Linked DNA regions of Ovis aries. The protein of the gene in region 2 purifies or fractionates together with the protein of the main gene of each other region. This does not show direct contact. Links are inferred from orthologs where the notes say so. Each region holds a gene or a part of one and is shown on either strand. Other genes may lie near its edges.

The links.
Region 1: the proteins of UTP4 (region 2) and UTP15 purify together in Homo sapiens (co-immunoprecipitation; 4 studies listed by BioGRID and IntAct, counting the BioPlex papers as one, with this or other methods). This does not show direct contact. The link is inferred for Ovis aries from reciprocal best matches to the Homo sapiens genes UTP4 and UTP15.

What each region holds. Positions count from the first base shown.
Region 1 is NC_056069.1:8,205,444-8,213,926, reverse strand, and holds the start of UTP15 (U3 small nucleolar RNA-associated protein 15 homolog), read left to right. Parts: upstream 1-1,478; 5' UTR 1,479-1,656; intron 1,657-6,388; 5' UTR 6,389-6,462; coding exon 6,463-6,552; intron 6,553-7,510; coding exon 7,511-7,603; intron 7,604-7,693; coding exon 7,694-7,878; intron 7,879-8,483. UniProt on the Homo sapiens protein: Ribosome biogenesis factor. Involved in nucleolar processing of pre-18S ribosomal RNA. Required for optimal pre-ribosomal RNA transcription by RNA polymerase I.
Region 2 is NC_056067.1:35,906,313-35,916,602, forward strand, and holds part of UTP4 (U3 small nucleolar RNA-associated protein 4 homolog), read left to right. Parts: intron 1-1,331; 5' UTR 1,332-1,333; coding exon 1,334-1,492; intron 1,493-3,663; coding exon 3,664-3,855; intron 3,856-4,768; coding exon 4,769-4,853; intron 4,854-6,304; coding exon 6,305-6,394; intron 6,395-10,290. UniProt on the Homo sapiens protein: Ribosome biogenesis factor. Involved in nucleolar processing of pre-18S ribosomal RNA. Part of the small subunit (SSU) processome, first precursor of the small eukaryotic ribosomal subunit.

The DNA of each region.
Region 1 (8,483 bases), on a different chromosome or scaffold from region 2:
AGTTAATTTTTTCATAGTCTTTCCAGTGGCTCAGTTGTAAAAAATTCGCCTGCCAATGCAGAAGATGCGGGTTCAATCCCTGTGTCGGGAAAAAGGAAATGGCAACCCACTCCAGTATTCTCGCTTGAGCAACCTCATGGACAGAGGAGCCTGCCAGGCTGCAGTCCGCGGAGTCGAAAAGAGTGGGACAGGACTTAGGGACGAAACGAAACAATTTTATCACGTTAAGGCCACTGCCTCTTAGAAATTTTGAGGGTGCAGGGTGTTTTAAAGTTGTAATTAATTGGAACTAAAAGAGGATCACAGTGGAGCAAAAGTTGGCAAATCATACATTTTACAGATAGCCCCTGTTTACGTTTTAGAACATCTTCCGAGATTTTTATAACAATCCTTTTTATGTTTTTATTTAATTTTTATAACAATCCTTTGGGTAGCCAGGGCAGGTAATCATAATCAATGTCCACCGTAGAGAAGAGAAACAGGGAGCTCATGACTCCCATCACTCGGTTCATTAAAATAAAAAGCAGCACTAAAGCAAAAGAAACCAATTCTTTCTAAACCAAGTGGAAATAGAATGCTTATCTTGGCACCAGTCTAGAGAGGAGGAGAGGCAAAATTGACCGGTTAAGCCATAATTTTTAAGTATAAGAAAAGAAGGGGAGGGGAGGGAGACGATCCAGAAGAGGAGGCGGGGAGAAAAAAAGAAGTAAAGCTAGGGTCACCTCAACCAGTCAGAGCCCAGGGAGAAGGGGTAGAGCGGCCCCAGCGAAATAAAATGGGCAACTGGGTTATTCCCCAGTGAGTGCTAATACCAGGAACTCCCCGCCCCCCGTTCTTCTTCATCCTGGAGCTGCCCTACGAGGAAAGGAAGGTGCTATGAGAATGAATGATGCCTCACAGGCGACAGGTGTCCCGGCGTCCCAGGACAGGAACCCGCTGGAAGGGAGACTGTGGCAGGAGGGAAGTCTCGTTCTGTCGCCACCCGCCAGCTCTGCCCGAAAAAAATCCCAGCGCGGCTCCGGCACGGCGGGCGGAAACTGGCTCAACCGCGGCGGGCTGGCCCCGGCAACAGGGGCCGGAGGCTGCCCGGGTCGGGGCGCAGGGCCTGGCGACCACTCTCGACAGTCCACAGCGAGTCGGGCCTCTCCATCTGCGGCCAGAGTCACTGCAGGACCTCAGCCAAGCCCCGGCTTGTTGTGATGGCGACGTCACTTCCGATTTCTGCTTTTGGTTTCCGGCCAAAAAGCGTTCAGCGTCGTTGCAGCCGAGAGAACTTCCAGGTATTTTCCCGCCGCTGTGCTGCGCGATCTTTACAGTCCCAGTAACTACAGAGAGAGCGTCATTTCTCCCACGGATCTGGGTCTATCGCCAGGCCTTGGCCTCGCGCTCTGGCCACGCCTCCTCCTCCACCATAGCCCCGCCCACAGGACCCGCCCCTGCGTCACCCAGGCTGCGTGCGTCTCGGGAGCCTGCGCCCTGACGTCACCTTCGTGCGACCCGACGGGCTCTCCTGTTCGCAGCGTGTTTCAGGGGTTTCTTAGAGTATCCACGTGATCTTCTGCATGTTCTCCTGCATAGTCAAGAAGAGGACTGGTGGGGTCCAAGAAATTCTCCTTGACGCTGGGGTGTCTCGGCGGACCGTCCGGGCCCACGGAGGTAAAGGGGGCTCCCAATGAAGGTACCCCAGACTCACATCGGGCCTTCCTTGCTATCTAGCATGTTTCCTTGGGGCTTCCCGGTCTCCGCGGAGTGGCTAAAGCAACTCCTTAAGCAACCTCTCAGGATCCTCGCAATTTAGTTTCTACCTAGATTTTCCTCCTCTACGGTCACTGTCCACTTCTACTGTCCTCCGTTATTAGTCCCTGGAGTAATCCACACCCTTTCAAAGTAGTAGGCCGATTTCCATCTCTGTCTTTGCTTATGTGGTTCTCTCAGTTTCAGGGCCCGCTCTTATTAAGTGGTTAATTGGTTTTAATATTAAAGGCCCAACTGAAATGCACCCTTGGAATGTTTCTGGTAGCCTCCCAGTTAAAGTCTCGTCTGAGCGTTCTGTTTTCTGTATATTACTTATAGCGTGCTTTTGGTATTCTGCCTTGTGATGTAGTAGTACCTAGTTTTCATTCAGTCCCGGTTTTTTTTCAGGCTGTTAGCACTCTGATTGTTTTCTTCCTGTTCATTTTCACGTCACTTCTTGCGTCCGTGCTTTTGCACCGTCTTGCTTCCCCTCTCCTGCCTCTGATGCTGTTCGTCACTTTAATCTGGCAAACCACTGTAAAGTACTTCTTTCGAGGCAGTTATGTTCTCCATCGCCTGTATAGTTGACCCTTGAACACTGCGGTGAGGCAGCTTTCGGGGCCCCTACCTTCTTGGGAGGGATAACTTACAGTGGACTCTCCGTGTATGGGATTCCTCCTGGGCTCTACTTGTGCTTTCAACAAGCTGTAATTCTGTGTACTGTGGTATTTACTGTTGAAAAAAATCTGCTTCTAAGCAGACCCACACAATTCAAAACTGCTGTTCAAGGGTCAGCCGTGCTCTAGTGAGGGGCTAAGGCCCACAGACAGGCTAGATCTGGCCAACTGTCTGTTCTGGGGTCGTCAGTGAGCCATGTATTCTTTTTATAGATGAATGTTTGTGATTTGTTTAATGATGGATATGTGCTAAGTGGCTTCAGTTGTGTCTCACTCTCTGCCATCCTATGGACCTTAGAGCTCCCCAGGCTCCTCTGTCCATGGGGATTCTCCAGGCAAGAAGACTGGAGTGCGTTGCCATGCCCTCCTCTAGGGGATCTTTCCCACCCAGGGATCGAACCTGAGTCTCCTGCATCTCCTGAATTGACAGGCAGGTTGTTTACCACTTTGCCACCGGGGAAGCCCTATTTGATGACAGGACACATCATTCAAAGTCCATGAAACTTTCTCCCCCTTCTCCAAAGAGTCTCTTTCATTCATAAACAGAATATCATACTTACAGTTATTTGGGGGTAGCTTGTTAGTAAAAAATTTGGAATTTTTTCTTTCTTGGTATGTAAGTAACTACATAATATCCTCCATTTTGCCTGCTGGCCTACAAAGCCTAAAATATTTATTCTTTGGCCTTTTACAGAAAAACTCTGTGGACTTGTGCTTTATAGCAGTGTTTGCACCACCCATGGTTTTAATTTTGTTTCCCATATAACCCAGCGCAATGCTTCCTTTTGTTCCTTTCACAAATATTTCTTTGAAACTGAAGTGTTAGTTGCTCAGTCATGTCTGACTTTTTGTGATTCCATGGACTGTAGCCCACGAGGCTCCTCTGTCCATGGGATTCTCCAGGCAGGAACACTGGAGTGGGTATAGTCATTCCCTTCTCCAGGGGATCTTCCCAACCCAGGAATCGAACTCACGTCTCTTGCATTGCAGGCAGATTCTTTACTGTCTGAGCCAGGGAAGCCCCCACTGAGCAATTGTTTTTAGTCTTCCAGACATGAAATGTTCAGTTTTAGTTTGGCCCCTAGAGTCGTGTCTGACTCTTTGCCACCCCATGGACTGCAGCATGCCAAGCTTCCCTGTCCATCACCAACTTCCAGAGCCTGCTCAAACTGATGTCCATCGAGTCGGTGATGCCATCCAACCATCTCATCCTCTGTCATACCCTTCTCCTGCCTTCAGTCTTTTGCAGCGTCAGGCTCTTTTCCAGTGAGTCAGTTCTTTCCATCAGGTGGCCCAAGTATTGGAGTTTCAGTTTCAGCATCAGTCCTTTCAATGAATATTCAGAACTGACTTCCTTTAGGACTGACTAGTTTTATCTCCTTGCAGTCCAAGGGACTCTCGAGTCTTTTCTAACACCACAGTTCAAAAGCATCAATTCTTGGGTGATCAGCTTTCTTTATGGCCCAGCTGTCGCATCCATACATGACTACTGGAAAAACCATTGCTTTGACTAATGGGGAGAAAAGATCATTATGCTGCCATATGATTATGTGAATTGACAGAAATACAGTCGAGTAGGTTATAAAAGACAAGCCGGTAACCTAGCTAAGGACGTCAGAGGTTTCCTGGAGGATGTGGTTCTTGAATATTAAATGATAACATATTGAAAAGCAGAGACATTACTTTGCCAACAAAGGTCCATCTAGTCAAGGCTATGGTTTTTCCAGTGGTCATGTATGGATGTGAGAGTTGGACTGTGAAGAAAGCTGAGTGCCGAAGAATTGATGCTTTTGAACTGTGGTGTTGAAGAAGACTCTTGAGAGTCCCTTGGACTGCAAGGAGATCCAACCAGTCTATCCTAAAGTAGATCAATCCTGGGTGTTCTTTGGAGGGAATGATGCTAAAGCTGAAGCTCTAGTACTTTGGCCACCTCATGCGAAGAGTTGACTCATTGGAAAAGACCCTGATGCTGGGAGGGATTGAGGGCAGGAGGAAAAGGAAACAACAGAGGATGAGATGGCTGGATGGCATCACTGACTCCATGGATGTGAGTTTGAGTGAACTCTAGGAGTTAGTGATAGACAGGGAGGCCTGGCGTGCTGCGATTCATGGGGTCGCAAAGAGTTGGACACGACTGAGTGACTGAACTGAACTGAACTGAGGAGGTAGATAAAGATCTTTCTTGCCAGAGAGGACAGATGAAGACAGATACTGAGACAAGGAAGAGCATGGTGTGTTAAGTGAGGAAAAAGAAGTGAAGCTGGAAAGATAAGCAAGGGCAAGATTACAGAGGGCCTTAATTCTGTTTGAAGGAGCTTGCACCTTCTTTTCCGGGCAGTTTTGGGCTTTGTAGCAAAAGCTAGATTTGCGTGGTAGTTCGGTAACTCTGACGGCTATTTGGAAGACAGACAGAATCAGGGAAACCTTATATTGCACTATTTCAGTAGTTGAGAAGATGTGAATTAGCGCAGTCTAACTAGGTAGTATGGATATTATGGAGTTTAGAAAGATTTGGAAGGTAAAATCAGCAGCTCTTGCTAAATATTACATGTTAGAAGTGAGAAGGAACGACAAGACAGACTGATTCAAGATTCCTAGCTTATGCCAATTACCAGCTGAAATGAAGAGTCTCAAGAGTATATGAAGGCTCTGACCATGTCTGTTTCACTCCGCATTGTACCCCAGTGCCTAAAACAGTGTGTTACTTTGTAAGTACTTCAGTGAACAGAAAAGTTTCCCTTTTTAAAATCATGAATTGCCATGTGTCCTCAAAGCCTTTAAAATATGTTGCACCTGTGTATTTTGGTGTTACTGATACAGTGTTTTCAGACTTTTGAGAATAGATGAGTTGCTCTACTGAATCATTCCTCTGTTGCAAATAAATGGTTTTGGAAAGACATTTCAGCTTAATTGCATGTCAGTTAAAAGTTTTAATTAGTTGTATGGCAGAAACCAGCACAACATTGTAAAACATTTAGGTAAAGTTATTGTAAAGATCCTATGGTATGTGAAGAAGTTTATGCAAAGAAACACTCTTGATATTGTGAAAAGTTATTTTTTAAACCTTAGATTTAACAGAATAAATGTGGAATTATAAAAGCTTTAATTAATCTTTATTCTGTCACTTTAATTTAGAATTTCACTTCAGAATTGTTTTATTCTTGTTTTCTTTCTTACGTTTAAGCCTTTTAAAATTAACTTAATTTTAATCTTCTTCATCAGAATAGTAGATTTTTATTTTAAGCTTTTAAATTTAGTTTTATTCTTCTACATTAAAATACCAGCTCTGCTTTCTTTTTGGCAGTGTTAGGCTTTCAGGAAGTCAGGTGCCTAGTGAAGTGAAGTTGCTCAGTCGTGTCCAACTCTTTGTGACCCCATGGACTGTAGCCTACCAGGCTTCTCTATCCATGGGATTTTCCAGGCAAGAGTACCAGAGTGGGGTGCCATTTCCTTCTCCATGGGATCTTCCCGACCCAGGGATCGAACCTGGGTCTCCTGCAATGTGGGCAGACGCTTCACTCTCTTGAGCCATCAGGGAAGCCCGAGGTCCCTAGACTGTGTTCTTACAGGTTAAATGTTGTCTTGAGTTTAATTTCAGGGAGCATTTGTAGTTGCAGTTTCATGTTAATATTTTTTGCTGTTAGTAAATGAACGTTCCAAGCAAGTGTGTTTCTCTCTGCTTTGGCAACTGGATGGCTGAGCCAGATTTATTCCCAAGGGCTGTAAATTGGTCAGTGAGGTGTGGGAACATTTGTGTGTAGTCTCTGCGTATAACTGAGCAGATAGTTCACTTTGGTGGCCCTATCTGTGTTCTTCTTGTTTCCCTTAGATTGTCTCTTCTGTATTAACGTTAAATGGTTACTGATCACTGATCTGTAAGCTACCATACAACCTTTGGAAAAGACACAGAGTGAGAATCATAACTGCGTATAGGTTTATGAATAGTAGTAATGTGTATATAAAATATTTTTTTTCAGACATAAGACAGTCACTTTAATCACACCAGTTTCAAACTAGTTACCCTTGGATAACAGTGCAATTACATGAAAGTATGGCTGGTTATAAGCCTGTAGCAATCCAGACATATCCTGTACTTGGTGAAAAAATCACCCAAGATACACTGTACTGGAACAACTATAAGGTAAGTGTAGACAAAATTAAGGGGGTACTGTTTTGCACTTAATGCCAATTTCTCCAGCATTTGTTAGACTTTGGATATGCTAGTAAAGAGTTAATAACTAAAAATAATCTGTCAGTAGCTTATAGTTTGGGTGGAAAATTTGATGTCTGATTTTTAAAGTCCATATTCCCTAATCAGTTTAATAATACAGGTATCTAACACATGGTAGATGATTAATCAGTGCAAGTGAATTAAACTTTAGAATTTGAATCTCGTATGAAAGAAGGTTTTAAAAAATTTTTTTTTCCTAATCTCAGGAGGAAGAGATGTAAAATGAATTCTGTGCCATCTGAAAAGGCTAATTAAATGATTTTTCTTTATAAAAAAGATGATTGACTTCATAGAAAAATGGAAAGAGGTTGGGATTGGAAAGTTTATAGGAAAGGAAATTTAAGTGGCCAATAAATATACTAAAAGAGCTCCAACTTCACTCATAACTGAATAAATGCAAGTTGAAACAATAATTGGATAATTATTGAATAATAATTTAGATACCTTTTCATGTATAATGTTGGCACAAATGAAAAATTTTGATCATCATTGCTGCTTGAGGTAGGGAAAATTGGCGCAAACTTTTCAAAGGGCAATTCTGGCGTTATCTCTTAAGATAAAAATAACTTGTGGTCTTGTAAATTACACAGCTTGCAACTTAATCAGTGAATAAACTCTCCAAAATTTGTATATGTTATCCTTATGTGTAAAGATGCTTGTTGAAGTATTATTTATAATATTAGAAATCTCAGAAAAACCTGTTTGTTAGTAGTGGACTGGTAAAGTAAATTATGGTATATCTTATAATGGATGGTAAAGCTATTGCTCATATGAAAAGTTAGCTAAGATGTGTTAATGAAAAAAAGGCAAGGTACAAAGTAGCCTGCATGGTTGTAACTCTGTTAATACTCTATTATTTTTCATTAAGACACCTGTTCAGATCAAGGAGTTTGGTGCAGTGTCAAAAGTAGACTTTTCTTCCCAGCCTCCATATAACTATGCAGTCACAGCTTCTTCAAGGGTAAATGTCATGTTTTTCTTTCACGCCGTTTATATTTACTGCTGTTCTTGAGCCATCTAGTAAAATGCTCTGTTTTTTATCTTGTTGTAGATTCACATTTATGGCCGATACTCCCAAGAACCTATAAAAACCTTTTCCCGATTTAAAGACACAGCATACTGTGCTACTTTTCGACAGGATGGTAGACTCCTTGTGGCTGGCAGTGAAGATGGTGGTGTTCAGCTTTTCGATATAAGTGGGAGGGCTCCCCTCAGGCAGTTTGAAGGCCACACTAAGTAAGAGACACTTGTTGTTTTGTTTTTAATTGAAGTATACTTAGCATACATTCTGTTAGTTTCAGATGCACAGCGTAATGCTTCCGTATTTGTGTATATTGTGTAGTGATCGTCACGATAAACTGGTTAATGTCTGTCACCATGCAGTTACAGAGAGTTGTTTTCTGTACTTTTGTTTTGTTGTAAGTTCAGTTGGTTTTACAGGCTTTGGAAGAGAGTTCTGTGACGATTCTTTACCTTTATGGACTTTATTTCCTGGTTGTTCTAAGACAGAGTGCATAACCTGGTTCAGTCCTGTGGTCCATTTTGATGGGGCTCATGAATGCCCTAGAATTTTTTGTGACATTTTAGGAAATGTGTGTTTCTCTGTGTAGACGTCCGATAGCTTTCTTCTCAGTGAGTTTTGTGACCCCATTGAGGTTCTAAAGGCAACCTCACAGCTGTTATGGAGAACTCAAGAGGCCTGGATTATATTAGAGTTTGCTTTTTGAAATCAAGTTGGAAGGTGGGATTTTTTTTTCTACTTGTATTTGGTGTTTTGCTTCTTAAAAATTAAACAGCTGAAGGCAGTTTTATAACTTTGTTTCAGGATTACCAATGTCATC
Region 2 (10,290 bases):
GGCGGCGGAGCTGGGGATAGAGAAAGTAATTGACAGATGCCAGATCAGTCCTGTCGCTTCATCCCGCTAAGAAGCTCTTGGTTTTTCCTGCCCATCAGCTCCACCGTCACCACCGTAGTTGAGTCTGTGATTTGCAGACTTAGCATGCAGTGGAGATGGAGATGTTTGCCAAAATGCAGGTTCCTTGACCTCCTCCCACCCCCAAAGACTGGAATTCTAGAGCTATGGATTAGTACCCGGAATCCTGCCTTGTTAGAGATCGTTTTGGTTTAGGAGTTCTGCGGACCTGACTTTGAGAGACTCCTTTAGACTGTCAACATTTCTTGCTTTCTTAGAATGATCGAGGTATTGATCCTCTTCTTAACCACCCCCAACCCCAGAAACCTCACGCACCAAATACGAAGGAGACTTTAGTTCTGCCTCGAATACAATTCCTGGAGAAGGAAGTGGCAACCCACTCTAGTATTCTTGCCTGGAAAATCCCATGGGTGGAGGAACCTGGTAGGCTACATACAGTCCATGGGGTCGCAAAGAGTTGGACACGACTGAGCGACTTCACTTTCTTTTCGAATACATTTGGTCAGCTCCTTGTGGCTCCATTCAAGCGCGCACTCCCAGTAAAAAAATGAGGTTATGTTCAGTCTTTTGCTCTAAGATCAAGTTTTAGATTCTCACCTCTCTTCCTGGAGCACTTCCTTTGGGCAGTTTGCGGGATTGCTAGGAGGCTGGGTGATGCTCTATGTGTTGCTTTTTGAATTTTTTTTTGTGGAAGAATCCTGAGCTTCTGGAGACTATTTGATAGATTCTGTGTGGACCATTAAAGCATCTTTAGTTGAATATTTTAAAATGAACCTCAGTCAGACTTCCCAGGCGGTCCAGGGATTAAGACTGGGAGCTTCTAGTGACGGAGGCAGGGGAACTAAGACCCCATATCCTCCCCACCCCCAGTTCCTGCCTGGCCTTCTCCCCACCCCCCAAAAATGGGGAAAAATAGAAATGAACCTCAGTGAGATACATTTGGAGTCTGCCACATAGAACCGTGGTACTGTGCTGCGCTTAGTCAATCAGTCGTGGCCGACTCTTTTCCACCCTATGGACTGTAGCCGGCCAGGGGCCTCTGTCCATGGGGCTTTTCCAGGCAAGAATACTGGAGTGGGTTGCCATGCCCTCCTCCAGGGGATATTCCCAACTCAGAGATGGAACCCAGGTCTCCCTCATTGCAGGCTGATTCTTTACCATCTGAGCCAGGAGGGAAGTCCAGAAGAGTGGTAATAAAAGACAGGAGATGTGATATACTGCTGTTTAACAATGATTCTTTTCTCCCCTCCTAGGAATGGGTGAATTTAATGTCCATCGAGTGCGTTTCTTTAATTATGTTCCATCAGGGATCCGCTGTGTGGCTTACAATAACCAGTCAAACAGATTGGCTGTTTCACGAACAGATGGCACTGTGGAAATTTATAATTTGTCAGCAAACTACTTTCAGGAGAAAGTAAGTCATTTGGGAGCCGGATTTGGTGGTGGTGATGTTAATTTTTTTTTCTTAAGTTTAATTCTGCAAAATCTTCTGTCTTTTTTGTATTCAAGGAGATCAGAAGAAAATGACTCTCCCCTACTCTCTCTGTTGTTTAGAAACAAAGAACAAATATACACTCTCTTGTCTGACTGATAAACTTAGAGCTTCAGTCTATGTAATGTTGGTTAGAAAGAGCCTACCTAGGAATTGTGGTGCTTACTGCCATTTGGAAACTGATGTTTACTAGATCTGTTGTCAAGATCATTGCTTCCTATCAGTCTCTGCACCATTGTAACTTTAGTAAAGTGGCTTTTCCTGCTGTGTTATTACCTATTTCACTGTTAATTCAGAAAAAAATGATGAGATGTTTTAATATCAAACTTTTTGGTGATGTGATAGCAAGAAGATGAATTCCTAAATTATCTATTTGAGAGAAGGTAGATTTATATACCTAATGTTTGGAACTAAAGACGATTTTAAATTAGGTAAAATATCATTTGGGTATATGCACAGGGCTATTACAGCAGCCTATTTTTCAAAGTCTCTGATTACAGATTTCAGATGCAGCAAAATAATTCAGTTCACATTTACTGAGTGCCTTGCATGCCCTCAACACCATGATACAGATGAATAGAAGGAAAAATGAATGCAGTGTCTTGCAGCGTAGTACTTGGAATTTAGGTACTCTGTAACTATTTCTAAATGACTGCAAGCATTAGGCATTAAGATGAATGTCAGAGGCCCTACCTTCAAAGGAGCTCAAAATCCAGTGGGGGAAAGATGAGTATACGGTTTGAAATAGTGTGGTCAGTTTTATGATAGACCTAAGCATGGGCATAGAATCTTAGTAGAGAGGTGCCTTGCTCTGATGAGGTGGGTTTAGGATTCCTGGAAAGGGATGACTTACCTGAGCTGACCCCTGAAGCAATAACAAGAGTTAAGAAATCACTGGTCACCAAAAATGAGTCCCATTCTATAGCATGAAAAACATGCTGTGATGCGCGCTTGTTGTATCCTGTGATTTTTCTTGTTATTATTGTTGCAACTATATAATTGTTTATATATTTGTTTAATGTCTTCTTCCCTCCTGAACTTCCAATTTTATGAAAAAGGGATCTTGTCAGTGATATGGCTGTATTCCCAGCATTTAGCAAGTGCTTAATACAAAGGCATCACTGAGTTAATACATGTTCAACGGGTCTTTACCTAGTACATCTTATTTTCCACTCCCATCGGTTTTCTGTTTTCTTGAACAATTAATTCAGTCTAGTCTTCCACTTTGTTTCCTTGTTCCCTTCCTGGCTATTCAAGATTGATTAGCTTGGGTGATCACTGTCAGATCATGAGAGTGAAGAGTAGGGACTAGTAGTAAGGAGAGTTATCTTCAATTTGTGTCATTGACTTTGGCAATTTGGGCAGACCATTTACAGATGCTCTGCTTTTTCAAGTTCAGCTAGGAAAAATTGTATCTCTCCCGGAGAAGGCAGTGGCAACCCACTCCAGTACTCTTGCCTTGAAAATCCCATGGACGGAGGAGCCTGGTAGGCTGCAGTCTAGGGGGTCATGAAGAGTCAGGCAGGACTGAGCAACTTCACTTTCACTTTCATTCCCTTTGGTGGCAAGCAGCTATAAGAATAAAATTCCTTGATTGTATGAATGCTTTTTGAGCAAGAAGAAAACACTTAGAAATCTGAGACTTGAATGAAAAGCTGGAGTGAGCTGCATTCATTTCTTTTATTTTCATTTTTTAGACAACATTTATTGGTGAAATTGGCCCACAGTAAGCAACATGTTTTCAAAGTATACATATTGATAACTTTTGACACATATACACCTTTGAAAGCATCGATCAAGATCACTACAATGACCTTTAAAAATCAGATGACATCAAATACAATTACTTGCAGACTTTATTGTCTGAAACATTTTGCAGAACTAGTCCTAGAAAAAGAAACAAAACCAACCGTATAACTAAAATGTGAGCCTAAAAAAATGAAAATATCAGTATCATGATCTTCAGATAGTGTGAAATTCCACACTAAGTTATTTCTAGAGGGGCATTTTAATTTTCCCCGTTTACCTGTGATCACTCAGTGCTGGCAGCTGGTGAATTCACGGTGGGTTGAGAAGTTATTGTGTTTCTGTAGTTTTTCCCAGGTCATGAGTCTCGGGCCACAGAAGCTCTGTGCTGGGCGAAAGGACAGCGACTGTTTAGTGCTGGACTCAATGGAGAAATTATCGAGTATGATTTACAGGCATTGACCATCAAGTATGCTGTGGATGCCTTTGGAGGGCCCATCTGGAGCATGGCCGCCAGCCCCAGTGGCTCTCAACTTTTGGTCAGTACGCAACTATTAGTCATCCAAACCGAGATTTCCTCTTGAGCCCATTTACACTTGCTTCCCTGTGTTCATAGGAAGGTAAAGTTATGTTGTGGCCAGTCGCAATTCCAGTCTGAGCCGAATTCCAGCAACCAAGCAATCAATTGTACCTGGATTCCAATAGGAGATACACGATTGGGGTTATTACTGGAGATGTAAAAATCCCTTGTCCTTTTGCACCCTTTCTGCTTCTACTTTGGATCTTGTTTGTTCATTAATGACACCAGAGGTTTCAGTTTGGTTCAGCATCTCCCAAACTGTGTCCTTTGGAATTGGGAGATACAGACACTGTCTTTTGTTTGGCTGCGCTTTGTGTTTTATGATACATTTTGCTTCAGAATTACCACGTGTTAAGTCCTTCCGTAGATTCACAACACACGTTAGTATATTAAGAGTTCTGATAGGTCTTTTTACAAGTCCACTTGTAGAACCATGTTTCTCAAAAATTTTTTGAGCACAGACTTAAGATTTCCCTCCTCCCCGCGCATTCTTACCATTAATTTTCTGTAATGAGTTACTGATTTTTTTTTTTGGTACTATTTTACAGTATCTTGACATATCTCCATGAAGGTGACACAGTTAACGGGTGTTTAATTCAGGCCTTCGTATCTAGCACAGACATGCCATGAAATCCTATTTCTCCTCCATGTCCTGTGCAGGAATTAGGCCACTCATTGGCCTGCTTTCTGGTTGGGATGTGATGGCTGCCAGGAACCAAATTTCTTGATACCAGTACTTTTTTCCTCTCACAAACTATTTTTCCTCTTTCAGAGCAAGTGTTAGCTTGAGGGAAGAAATGTATATATTTTAAATGTGTATATTTGGTTCTCTAAAATGCTTTCTTTGTTTTCCACCCCCTTTTCCATGATAGGTTGGCTGTGAAGATGGATCTGTGAAATTATTTCAGATCACTCCAGACAAAATCCAGTTTGAAAGAAATTTTGATCGTCAGAAAAGTAAGGGTTATTTGTCATCAGGGCAGTGAGTAGTGTTAACAAGAAGTTTTGTTTCTGTGCCACTGGAGATGGGATACTTTCCTATGGGTTCAGAGAATATTTTATCTGTGTGCCAACTTTCTGCGATGCAGGGTATATGCTAGATGCTGTCCTTAGCTCAGGTTCTCTTTACTGTGTAACATAACGTAGCTATGACTACCTGGTTAAGTAATAATAGAGAAAACTGGCAATCCAAAATAGGAAAGCAAGTGTTTCTATGTGAATCAATTTGTTAGTTCTCACTCACTTTAGTGAAGTTTTGATGAATGTGCATAAAGTCTCAAAACTAGGACTTCGCTGTTAGATAGGAGCTGTGGTTCTCAGTCCTGCTAGTACATTCAAGTTGAATGTGGGAATTTTATAGCCAGTTGTCCCTGTTCCAGCTGCACCTACTGACACTGACTTCCAGATCAGAGATTGGCAACCTGTTTCTGTAAAGACACCAGCTAATATTGTAGGCTTCAGCAAAGTAGTCCTAGATAATGCTTAAACAAATGGTCATGGTTGTTCTCACCTAAAACTTCATTAACGACAGCTCACCCCAGGTTGGCCTTTGGGTTGCAGTATGCTGACTCCTCTTCTGGAGAGTGCTGTCTGAGATGTTCTCTATGTCCAATAGTAATATTTATTCTCTGTTCATCAAATCCCTGTATGTTTGTTTTTAATATCTTGCAGGTGTTCTTTTTTTTTAATTACAAAGGTGACACAGTGTTGTTAAAAATTTCACACGTTTGGCTAAGGGTGAAAGAAAAGAATAAGTGGCTCACCTCAGTCTGTAGGCAACATTTTAAAATGAATCTAGACCTTGTTGTATCTTCGAACGGACGGATACATTTCCAGGAGTGCTTGCACTTGCTTTTCAGCTTTTTTTTTTTTTCATTTGCTATATCACAGACATCTTTCTGTGTGAGTTGAGTTGTGCCCATGTGAGTGGCATTCCATTTTATGGTGTTCCATAATTTGTTTGATCACACTCCTACTGATAGATACTATTATTAATATATATATATATTTTTACTACTCAAGCCAGTGCTGTAACGAACATTCTTTTCTTCACTTGGGCACTCTAGTAATATTTCTCTGTGGTGAAATTGACAGTGCAATTGCTGTGACAGATAGGCACGTTTAAATTTTGTTTGGTTACTGCCTGGTCACCCTCAGAAGGTTGTGCTTGTTTACAATCCTATCAACCATTTATCCATTATTAAAAGCAAGCATCAAATATGTCATGTGAGTCCCAGGAAAAAGTTGTTCCTCACCTGTTACAAAACAGTTCTTCACAAAAATGCAGCAGGTGAGCGCTAAGGCTATAGAACGCTAGTCCTGTAGATCACTGTGGAAAGAGAACTCAGTTACCGTTTGCTGTATATGTACGTGTATGTCACTTTCTCTTTGGTTGTAAAACTCCCCAGGTCGAATCCTGAGTCTCAGCTGGCATCCTGCTGGTACTCACGTTGCGGCTGGCTCCATAGACTATATTAGCGTGTTTGACTCCAAATCAGGTGACTGTTTTTCTCAGCTCATTTGGGATGTGGGTCTTGTTTGTCAAATTCACATTTCTCTGTTTCCAAAAGCTGTGTCCTTGTGCTTTTACCAACCTTCTGAGTTGTCACTGTGAATTTCATATCTTTCTTAGATTCCTACTGCTGCTTTTAGGAGAACCTTGATTCTTCAATTAAATACAGTATTTTTCATCATAAGAATTCACACTAAAATTTGCCTTCAACTCTTCATAAAAGAAAGTGTCTGTCTTTGAGGAACCTAAGTTCTTGGTAACACAGTAACGTATTTCCTCTGCTCTTGGCCTGGAGGATTGGCTGATGGATTCCTTCAGTGATGAGACTGACTTCAACCTGTTAGGTGGCTGGCTGTACTCCCCTCTAAGATGAGAGGATATACAGGACAGGGATGTCGCCTTTTTCTTCCTCTGTACTGCTTAAGCAAGTTTTTTATTGTTATCAGTCATATGCATATAGTCAAAGAATTCCTTAAGGCTTGAATCCCTTCTCCTGCTCCTCAAAGGCAATAACCTGCAACTCTTAGCTGTTTCTTTTGGTATTTGTCTCTGTGCTATACATAGTATGCTTAAAATACTGTGTTGTATTTTCTCAGTTTTAGCCCCTTATTTATTGACTTCCACTCTATTAACCCTCTTTCTTTGCACTTTGCCACATGTACCCATATTTCTTCTTGATCCTCCCAGTACGGTTATTTTGCAATTTTGTTCAGATTAGCAGTTGATGTTTTTAATCTCAGACTATATAGGTACTACTTGCAGAGTAAATGTCTTTTCCTTCCCTGTATGGTTTTTTTTTTTAATTTTATTTTTAATTGGAAAGTACCCTGTATTCTTTTCGTTAATATTGTGTGTCTGTCTCTCTCTCTCCTGTGTGTGATTGATACATATATCAGTAATTCATCTCTACATTCTTCTAGTTGTATAAGGTAGGTTCAGCTACATCTGGTTTTCTTTCTCATTTTGGGTGGGGTGGGGTACTCTGCACGGCTTGCAGGATCTTAGTTCCCTGGCCAGGGATTGAACCTGGACCCCTGCAGGGAAAGCACCAGACCGCAACTAACCACGGACCACTAGGTAATCCCCACTTCTGGTTTTCTTTCTACTGCTTTCATCTCCTTGAAGGATTCTCTCCCAGAGCCTTCTGCCCTGCCTCAGTCGAGTGGAGCCAGTTTCTGGGCCTGCTGCACAACTCTGAGATCTTGAATTCTGGTTTTTCAACCATTCCGGGAATTCCCTTTGCTTGTCTCTCACGTGGAGTTCCCCGTGGCCATGTCATGCACTTTCCTAGTTTATCACTTTGTTTGGTGGATCCTGAGAAAGGGTTTTTATGAGAAAGAATTCTAAGTTGAAAATTATTTTTCCTTAGAAGGTTGAAGCCATGGCTCTGCTGTTCAGCTTCTAGTGTTGTTATGAAATCTGATGCCTTTTTGGGAGTAGATCCTTTGTGTAGGTTTTTATGGTTTGTTTTTCCTGGGAGTTTTTAAGATCTTCCTTTTATCTTTACTGTTCTGAATTTAATAATTCTTTGTTGTGTGGATCTGTTAATATCAATTATATGGGACAACTTGATAGGTTCCTTCAATCCAAAAACCCATGTTTTCCATTTCTGAGGAAAATTCTTATAATCATTTTCTAAATGAGTTGCTCTCCATTTTTTTCTAGAATTTTATCATTTGAATGTTGGCTTTTCTCATTTATTTTCTTTCTTTCTTTTCCCTGTTACTTTTGATCTCTAACTTTTTACTCTGCTTCCTGAGAGAGTTTGTCATCTTTATCTTAGTCCTTTTCTTGAGATTTTCCTTTCTGCTGTTTGTTTCTAGACTTCTTCTTTGTTTCCTGAATGTTCTTTTTTATAGCGTTCTCTTTTTATTTCATTATATAGTATGAACTCTTGCATTATATAGTACTAACTCTTCTCCAAGACTATTCTCTTCTCCGACCATTACTTATTTTTCTCTGCCCCTCTCTTGGGCCTCTGCCTTCCATACTAAGGCTGTCCTCCAGTGTCTAGGGGTTCCTTTCATCACCAGACAAGTTTATTGCATCTAAACTTCACTGAGGAATGGTCTGGCTTGACTGTCAGTATGGGGAAGCTCTAAAGACAGGCTGTTTAGGTCTTTTGTCGTGTACAAGTCATATTTCCCAGAAGTGTTTTTTGTTCTCCTGTGGGGTGATAACAAGCAGGGCCATCAGCATTCTAAGAAAACTGGTGTTCTTAATGTTGAGAGACAAGTTTTCACTTAATCTATGCTCCATATACCGCTCCCACCCTCAGTTGCAGTGATACCCCTCTTCAGAGAATAAGTTTCTGGTCTCTGAGAAGTGGAATTTGGGGAGTTGCCTGGCTTCTTAGCTGTGAGGCAGGACCCGAGGGATATCATATCAGTTCAGTCACTCAGCCGTGTCCGACTCTTTGCAACCCCATGGACTGTAGCACGCCAGGCTTCCCTGTCCATTACCAACTCCCAAGCTTACTCAAACTCATGTCCATTGAGTCGGAGATGCCATCCAACCATCTCATCCTCTGTTGTCCCCTTCTCCTCCTGCCTTCCATCTTTCCCAGAATGAGGGTCTTTTCTAGTGAGTGAGTTCTTCACATCAGGTGGCCAAAGTATTAGAGTTTCAGCTTCAGCATTAGTCCTTCCAGTGAATATTCAGGATTGATTTCCTTTAGGATGGACTGGTTGGATCTCCTTGCCGTCCAAGGGACTCTCAAGCGTCTTCTCCAACACCACAGTTCAAAAGCATCAATTCTTTAGCGCTCAGCTTTCTTTATAGTCCAACTCTCACATCCATACATGACTACTGGAAAAACCATAGCTTTGACTAGATGTATCTTTGTTGGCAAAGTAATGTCTCTGCTTTTGAATATGCTGTCTAGGTTGGTCATAACTTTTCTTCCAAGGAGTAAGCATCTTTTAATTTCATGGCTGCAGTCACCATCTGCAGTGATTTTGGAGCCCAGAAAAATAAAGTCAGCCACTGTTTCCATTCTTTCCCCATCTATTTGCCATGAAGTGATGGGACCGGATGCCATGATCTTAATTTTCCAAATGTTGAATTTTAAGCCAGTTTCTTCACTCTCCTCTTATACTTTCATCAAGAGGCTCTTCAGTTCTTCTTCACTTTCTGCCATAAGGGTGGTGTCATCTTTATATCTGAGGTTATTAATATTTCTCCTGGCAATCTTGTTTCCAGCTTGTACTTTATCCAGCCTGGCATTTTGCATGATGTACTCTGCATATAAGTTAAATAAGCAGGGTGACAGTACACAGCCTTGACGTACTCCTTTTCCTATTTGGAACCAGTCTGTTCCATGTCCAGTTCTAAGTGTTGCTTCTTGACCTGCATACAGATTTCTCAGGAGGCAGGTAAGCTGGTCTGGTATTCCCATCTCTTTCAGAATTTTCCATAGTTTCTTGTGATCCACACAGTCAAAGGCTTTGGCGTAGTCAATAAAGCAGAAGCAGATGTTTTTCTGGAACTCTCTTGCTTTTTCGATGATCCAACGGATGTTGGCAACTTGATCTCTGGTTCCTCTGGCTCGTCTAAATCTAGCCTGAACATTTGGAAGTTCACGGTTTATGTACTATTAAAGCCTGGCTTGGACAATTTTGAGCATTACTTTACTAGCGTGTGAGATGAGTGCAATTGTGCAGTAGTTTGAACATTCTTTGGCATTGCCCTTCTCTAGGATTTGAATGAAAACTGACCTTTTCCAGTCCTGTGGCCACTGCTGAGTTTTCCAAATTTGCTGGCATATTGATTGCAGCACTTTCACAGCATTATGTTTTAGAATTTGAAATAGCTCCACTGGAATTCCATCACCTCCACTAGCCTTGTTCATAGTGATGTTTCCTAAGGCCCACTTGACTTTGC